Coturnix japonica: one gene and its partner. The protein of the gene in region 2 binds, or shares a complex with, the protein of the main gene of each other region. Links are inferred from orthologs where the notes say so. Each region holds a gene or a part of one and is shown on either strand. Other genes may lie near its edges.

Region 1 (3,749 bases), on a different chromosome or scaffold from region 2:
CCACAGGGAGAACCATACTACCTCCTGTAGTTACACACCAGTTGGCTTTTTAAAAAGTGCATGCAGAGGCAAACTCATGTTTCAAATATACCTAGAAGGCATATTTTTATCCTATAGAGGATTTTTTAAATAAACACATTGTTTTTCATTTTCTGAATGTATGTGGCAGTATTTCAAATCCTGATCAAATGTCAAGAAAATCCTGTTTTGGTGGTTAAGTGCAAACAGAAACTCCTGAAAACACACTGATGTTTTGTTGTTGTTGTAAATTGGGTGGGTTTCTTTTTTCTTTTCGGAGTGTGTAGTTCTATGTGCTCCCTACCCCCCTTCCCCCTCCCCCCCCCCATGGTAACAGTACGTACAAATTGCTGAATTATATTTAGTAATCTTCTTCAAGAGAAGTATTCTTTGATCTTTGTGAGTTACTTCACACAGCAATACAGTATTCCTATCTTATGTGTTATTCTGCTATTTTAAATAGCTAGGAATAGTTTCTGATTTACAGTTCTGCTGCTATCATAAAAATATTTAATTTCTCACTATTTCTGGCAATTTTTAAATAATGACAGCTAACTTTCTTGCCAGCATTAATGAAGTAGGGCCTCAAATGTTTACTAGGAATTATGGAGATATTTATTATCTTATACAGGGGAAGATTTTAAAAGCAGAGAGATGTACATTGACTTGCCCAGAGTTACACAGAAAACCTTTAAGAGACCAGTAAGAAACAAATCCAAATATTTATGTTAAAGCCCTGTGTTTTAGCCAAAACAGTCGCACCTATATCATAATTAATTAGAAAACTAACACTATTGCCATATTTGAAATCAGCCGGAGCTGATACAATGCAGATAATAATACAGCTTAAAGTCCATGCTAGAATTCCCCTTTTGATTCCCAGGAAGGCTTCAGTAAGCTCTGTATGCATTACAAAACCACGGGCTAACCCAATTAAGTCAATACTTCGTCACTCAGAGCCACTACAAACATTTCAAGTTTTACTTTGAAATTTTTGGTATCATCTACCTCTTGGAAACACCAAGCACAGTGTGGTCCGGAAAGCAAACAATCTTCACAAGTCACTCCACTTTCCTGAGAACAGGTCCCTAAGTTTAAATCCAAGAAGACAAAAGGCTGTTAATAATGCGTTTAAGCGTTTGGTCTGTGAAGAATCTGCTTACATTGAGAACGTAGGAAGCAAATAATATAAACATTTAGCCACATGTAGTGTTACTGATAAAGTCCTTCCCTAAGGATATTTCCATTGGTAGAACATTAACGCTCTGGGTAAAAAAAGAACAACACGGTTGCTGATAATTAACATACTTTTGCATGCTTTATAGGTGCACATTCTCTGAGAACATGAGAACTTGCTACTAGTTTGCTTCACTGCACTTGCCAGAGCTTTGTGTTTGATTCTGGTGTGGGGCAAAGCATTCCCAGCATAACCAAAATACCAACAGAGACACCAAACCACCAGATTTGTGTATGCTCACTGTACTTAAAACTGCTTCACCCAAGTCTGTAGATTCTTGATATTATTTTAATTTGTTGTGAAAGTACTGGTGAAACACTGAGGCATTCATAAGGCATTAAGTTTCTCAGTGGATCAAACAGTGATTAGTACAACCATTACTACTCAGATGCCTGTCTCTTTCATACATATTTTGCTATGTAACGTCTGCATAAATCGCAGGCAAATTCACAGGGCTGCCCTTCAGCAGCATGTCAAGAAAACAGTCATCAAACAGAAAGGAGCAGTTAAATACAGAAGACAAAGAGCTATTTAGTATCAAATTAAAGCAGGAAACAAAGCAAAAATGGTTTTGAAATGCATCTCCCTGTCCCTGAGTCTTACCTTGCACATCATTATTTCTTTGAAGAAATAGGAAAAAGAGGCAAAGCAATTCAATCCCCATTCGTTTTCAGTGCTGGCTGTGTGACAAAAAGTATTAGCGTGTTAATTATCGTCCACGGAAAGGCAGAATGTCATAAAAATCATCATAAATTCCCAAAGTGTATGTTTTCAGATGTCACCTACAACGGACTGCGAGGAAACTTCAAACCTATCAGCACAGAACATGAATGAAATGAAAACAACAGCTACCTGGGCAGGTAAAGACTGCAGGCTGTACATAGAGGTAACCTGAACATGGTTATCACTTCCTTGTTTTCCTGTACTCCTTATAAGGTATACAATCAGAAGGAAAATTCATTCAGGTGAAGACTTCTGTCAATTCCAGTTACTCTGGGTCCTAAAGCAACCCATCCGAGAGTCGGGTTTTTTTTTGTGTGTGTGTATTGAGCCACTCTAAAACAATTCCTTTAATTGTTCCCTGAGAGAATATGTTAGGTAAGAGGTCATAAGGTTGGCTAAGTGAATATACCTGGAGAGATGTAAAAATCCCATTTTTTCAGATTCCCTGGTGTGGAAGGAAGCTTGTAAAGGCAAAATGGAAAAAAAAAAAAAAAAAAAAGAAAAAGAAGAACAGAAATTATTCAGTTGTTGCAGCTGAGGACCTGGCTTTGGTCATTCAAGATACAGAGCATGCTGGTTTTATTAACATTGTAAACTGGAAAGGAAACACTGCAATTGTGGCTTTTTCTCTTAATATGCAGAGGAAGGAATAACTGCATACCCAGTTCTGCAACCGACTTGAGAAAAATCACTTCAGCTTCATGCCCACGCAAGTGCCCAAACATTCTGCAGCACTGCAGATACAACATAAAGTTATTGCTATCTCTTTTCTCACCAACCCAACCAGAAATGAAGGCAAAATATGCATTTCTTACAGCATTATTAAAGGAAATAAAATGTATTGTTCCCAGATTTCATCTAGCTTTTATGTTATGCTACTCTCAGTTCTGAAAATGATTTGTTCAGTACAACTCCTTTCTCACTGGGAGGGTATGCAACCGGCTCTGCACACTGCAGTGTAAATAGCAATTTCATCTGTTGTGTTGCTGCTCTGTCCTAAAAACGTATGACCTGTTTTTCCATCATCAGAAATCCCACCAAAGCAGCAAAGTTGGCTTGTGAAACTGAGCTGCTCTCATCATGAGAACTGACAGGTTCAGACCTCCCTTTTCAAACCGGGTGGTAGCTGCAATTTTGGGGCAGGATGTGACAGTAGGGATAGGTCTATACTAGTAAACCCAACATGCCTGGAAGCATTCCTGGGCATGGAGGCCAACTGGCACAGAACGAACTGCGTTTCTGCTTGCAAATTGCCTATTGGGACCATTCTAGCAATCAAATTGTGCCCAGAAATTGTTTGCAGAGAGTGTTAATTGGAAGAGGTCAAATCCCTGCCAGGGAAGAATTTAAACAGTTTCATAGCACAGAGAATCTCATTCTAGTGCCTGGAAACATTCCCAGGCACATCCGATTTTACTAGTATTTACACAGTCCACAGGTAGTTTCATAGCAGCTCCAACTGGATTACGTCAAGCCTACCTTTGCCCTGCCCTCATGTTCACACCCCTTGGCTCTTATTGGTGCCCCAAAAAAACAGTGAGCTGATTCAACCTCATCCAGTAAAAATCCACAAACCTTCTGTAGGTGGGCTGATCTTCAGCTGGCAGAGTTCCTTGCCCTCTGTCACTGCCCACCCTGGTGCAAGCACCAGTTTGAGGGGAGAAAGAGTCAGGAAGAGATGACAGAGGGATGGGAATATGGCAGTTTGGATATAGCCCACCTTCGGCTGTTGTGGTACCACACCTTAACATTTCTATTTACAACATTCCAA
Region 2 (3,649 bases):
CTGCTCTGACATCCCATTTGCAGACAGACACCAACAGCCTGTACAAAGTGCCCCTTGCTGCAGGACCCCTGGTTCATCCCACACTGCACTGAGCCTGTGGAGAAGCTTTGGGATTGTCTGTTAGCAATTGTTATCGTCTGTTAGCTGGAGAACTGCTCTGCCTTTGAAAGATGAATTCCAAGCAGACCTTAAGAGCTAACAGCTAAAGGGCAATTTTAGCTGCATTGTTACTGCATAGCAGAGAGACAGCAGCAGCCTGTGGGAATACAGTGCCAGGATGCACCATTAACTGTGTGATCCAGCACGGCCAGAGACCGCTTCCAAATCTGAACCAGACCTTATCTTGCCAGCGGACACCAAGAGTTCAAACCAAACTCCAGATGAGCACCTGCGCTAAAGGTGCCAGAAACTGTCCCTGCAGAACTGATGAAAGGAACACTGAAAGCAAGCATTTCTTTTCCAGTAAGTCTGAAAGTCAGAGAGCTCCACCCATTGGATTAGCACCAACTGCACTGTACTGTGACAGTCAGAGGAACAGCTCTGCCAAGGGACTTAGGCAGAAGGGTCAGGGCTTCTCTGCTGGTGAGAGGATCCTCTTCCAACCCCTTTGAGTATAGGAAAGAGCTGCATAATTCATTGTACTCACAACAGCTGGGCAGTGTGAGTGGGGAAAAGGACAGCACCACACTGAAACAGGAGAAAAATATGTCTGTATCACTGCTTACATGCTGAAAGAAGCATGGAGCGAAGTATGGAATCTCTTTTTCCTCTCACCTGTGGCCTTGCACCCACAAGCTGGGGCAGTCACTAGGGAGCCAAGCTGTTCTGGCTGAGGCAGTGAGGAAGGCGAGAAGAATACTCACCTGGAAGAGCTCAATGCGCTGCTCACTGCGCTTGGAGCTCGGGTTGGGCACACGCAGCACCCGGAACTCTGCTCGAAACAGGTTGGTGCTGTTCTTCTCTGCTGAGGACACGTTAAAGCGGAACACATTGGAGGTGACACCTTTTGGGCAAATGCCCAACTCATCTAGGAGAAAAAAAGAGGGAAAGGCTAAGGATTTCATGCCAGAAGTGACTGAGAAACAGCTTCCAGCTAAACATGTCACCACCTTTGCGTTTGGTTGTCTGGCTAAAGAGATGGCAGGAGAAATTAACTCTAATTTGCTCTACATTGGAATGTTTTGAAAATCTTCTCACTACTGACACCATTATTTCAATGCTACAAGCCAGAGAATCGGTGGAGATCAATCACAGTATTCTTAATTCTGTCTCTTCCAACTCATCAAATGTTGATAATGCTTGTAAGTTTCCTGCATTTGTCAAAGCAACCCCAACCAACACAAGGGACAACCTCCTTTGTTCCTTGTGGGGCCCATTCCCAATAACTGTGATGGTGTAACTCTGTGCTCATTCTGGAGATGTGAAGCCACACAGAAAGTGATCTTATTACAGGAGACGATGTCAAGGTCTGTAATGAAAGCCAGAGAATTGTCCACAGAGTTTGGTAAGGCACTAAAACAGGTTGCCCAGAGATGTGGTGGATGTCCCATCCCTAGAGACAGTCAAGAACAGGCTGGATTGGCCTCTGAGCAACATGATTGAGCTGCAGGTGTCCCTGCTTATTGGACTAGATGGCCTCTAAGGGCCCCTTCCACATCCAATGACTCTATGATAGGTATGAGGTGCAGAAGACATCTCAGGAGCAGTGACTCTCCAGGGCATACTAAAGGAACTGAGTTCTAAGGTCAGTTCTCATTCATGACTTGGAGGAGGAATTCATGGTTAGTACTTGATACAGAGTTCTTTGGGGACAGAGGCTGCTGTGCAGCCTACAGAGATCAGACACATGAGCAGGAAATAGCACAGCAAGGCTCTGCCTGGATGCGTGCCTGCTTAGCAGAAAAATCCACTTCACAAGTGCCCAACAAGAGTGCGAGTAAAAATCACAATGTTTCCCCAAGAGAAAATGAGCATCTCTTCATTGGGACCATTTTGGTCCCATGGAAAAAGCAGTGATCCCTGCTGCTCCTCTCCTGTTGACCTCCCTTGGCCTTCAAGGCTGTAGCATCATTAAGGCTTAAAGGCTTCCTGCAGGCAAGGCACAGCAACTCCTGCTCTACACCCACGTGCAGATCTGTTTGCAGTCCTGCAGAGCCTCTCATATGACCTCTGGCTGTTCTCCAAGGTAACACGAGGCTCTCGTGTCAGCTGAGATCTGTGGGGTTTTGTTGTTGTTGTGTTTTTAATTAAATAATAAAACCACACACACAAAAATCACTTGTTTTTTTTTCCTAAGCCACAGTTCCAGCCTGTGATAAATAGGCTGGAAGACCTGGCAACCTTGAAATTGTGTTCTTGGAGCTGGCCCCTGTCTTCAAAACACCGGTGTCCCACAGAAATGAGTTCTGTAGATGGGCTGGTGGTGGAACAGTGTCTAAGAACACAGGCTCATTTCCCATGCCAAATTCTTCTTTGAGCAACAGTGATTCACTTCTGGAGTCATCTTGATGAAGCTCAAGGTCTTCCTCCTGTGCTACACTCAGCCTTAGCAAGCAGGAGCCTGCCAGTTTACAAATGTGTGTTCTTATGGACAGAAAGTTTTACTCAAATCAGCTAATGACCAGGTGCTCACTTTGAAACTTGTTTTGAGGCTTTTTGCCATACCTACTATTGAATGGAACAGCTTTTCCACCTGTGAACATCTCTGCCTGCTGTTAAGATGGGGATTTTTGCAGCCCCAGGAGACCAGACCCAGCGCAGCCACCAGCTGGCATATTCAGCCCAGCAGCCCTACAGCACAGAGAGCACTGAGCTGTGAGAGGACACCCACCATGGGGACTCCACCACTGTGACGGGTTTTGTGCCACAGATAAGCACAGACCAGCAAGCTCTGATCTCATTATGTACCCGAGGGCATCTTTCTAGATGAAGTCCAATGCTGCAAAGGTTCTGTTAGACCTAGGTGGATCCTGTATTTTAATATCCCCTTAAGCAGTTTTGTAATGCTTGCCCTATTAATAGGGCTGTTAACAGCCTGCCCTTCCATTTCTGAGCCAACTGCTTGTCCGTGAGGGGATGTCCCACCAATCATCACAAGCGCCTCCAGATCAGACCAGTGGCCAGCCTATCCACAGTCCATTTACAACATTGGTACTTTATCTGATAATCTATTTAGAGACTGTAAACCTGGTCCAAACCTGGTCCTACAGCACAGTGTAGATGAGAGAGAATCATTTACGGTTTGTCAGCTTCTTAAATGTTTTGGCTCAGTGAGGCAGCTAATAATGCTAATAAGAGATGGATGACCGTCTTCTGTATTCTCTTGCTATCTCTGCAATGCCTCCTACCTACTTCTGATGGTGTTCTGGGGACCTTCCTAGTTAAGTCAACAAGGGAACAAGCTCCCTGTGATGGAGGAGATGGAGCTGCTGTTTCGTTCTGACCATTACAATGTTGGAGCCTGCCTCTCACAGCCAGACGACCAGAATACAGACCTAAGTCCCAAAAGATTTCTGCTTTTTGAGCAAAATTCTTAAGAGGTCAGAGGTGTGCACAGCTAAGTGATGTTTTCAGGGGACTCGGTCTAGTCCCAGCTCAGGGCACTTTAATCACACCAGGATCTGGAATTGCCCAGATACCAGCAAAGAAC

What was found. The genes of interacting proteins can lie anywhere in the genome.
Region 1: the proteins of TGFB3 (region 2) and ITGB6 are in contact, whole or in part, in a crystal structure (PDB 4UM9), measured with the Homo sapiens proteins. The link is inferred for Coturnix japonica from reciprocal best matches to the Homo sapiens genes TGFB3 and ITGB6. Residues at the interface, in NP_001316868.1 of Homo sapiens: His259, Gly262, Asp263, Leu264, Arg266, Leu267, Lys268; in NP_000879.2 of Homo sapiens: Ser142, Ala143, Ser144, Asp147, Pro196, Cys197, Ser199, Ile200, Tyr202, Cys204, Ala234, Asn235, Ile236, Asp237, Thr238, Glu240, Asp271, Lys355.

What each region holds. Positions count from the first base shown.
Region 1 is NC_029522.1:24,910,314-24,914,062, forward strand, and holds the start of ITGB6 (integrin beta-6), read right to left. Parts: upstream 2,453-3,749; 5' UTR 2,388-2,452; intron 1,936-2,387; 5' UTR 1,920-1,935; coding exon 1,859-1,919; intron 1,107-1,858; coding exon 1,027-1,106; intron 1-1,026. UniProt on the Homo sapiens protein: Integrin alpha-V:beta-6 (ITGAV:ITGB6) is a receptor for fibronectin and cytotactin. It recognizes the sequence R-G-D in its ligands. Internalization of integrin alpha-V/beta-6 via clathrin-mediated endocytosis promotes carcinoma cell invasion.
Region 2 is NC_029520.1:34,888,070-34,891,718, forward strand, and holds part of TGFB3 (transforming growth factor beta-3 proprotein), read right to left. Parts: intron 1,028-3,649; coding exon 864-1,027; intron 1-863. UniProt on the Homo sapiens protein: Transforming growth factor beta-3 proprotein: Precursor of the Latency-associated peptide (LAP) and Transforming growth factor beta-3 (TGF-beta-3) chains, which constitute the regulatory and active subunit of TGF-beta-3, respectively.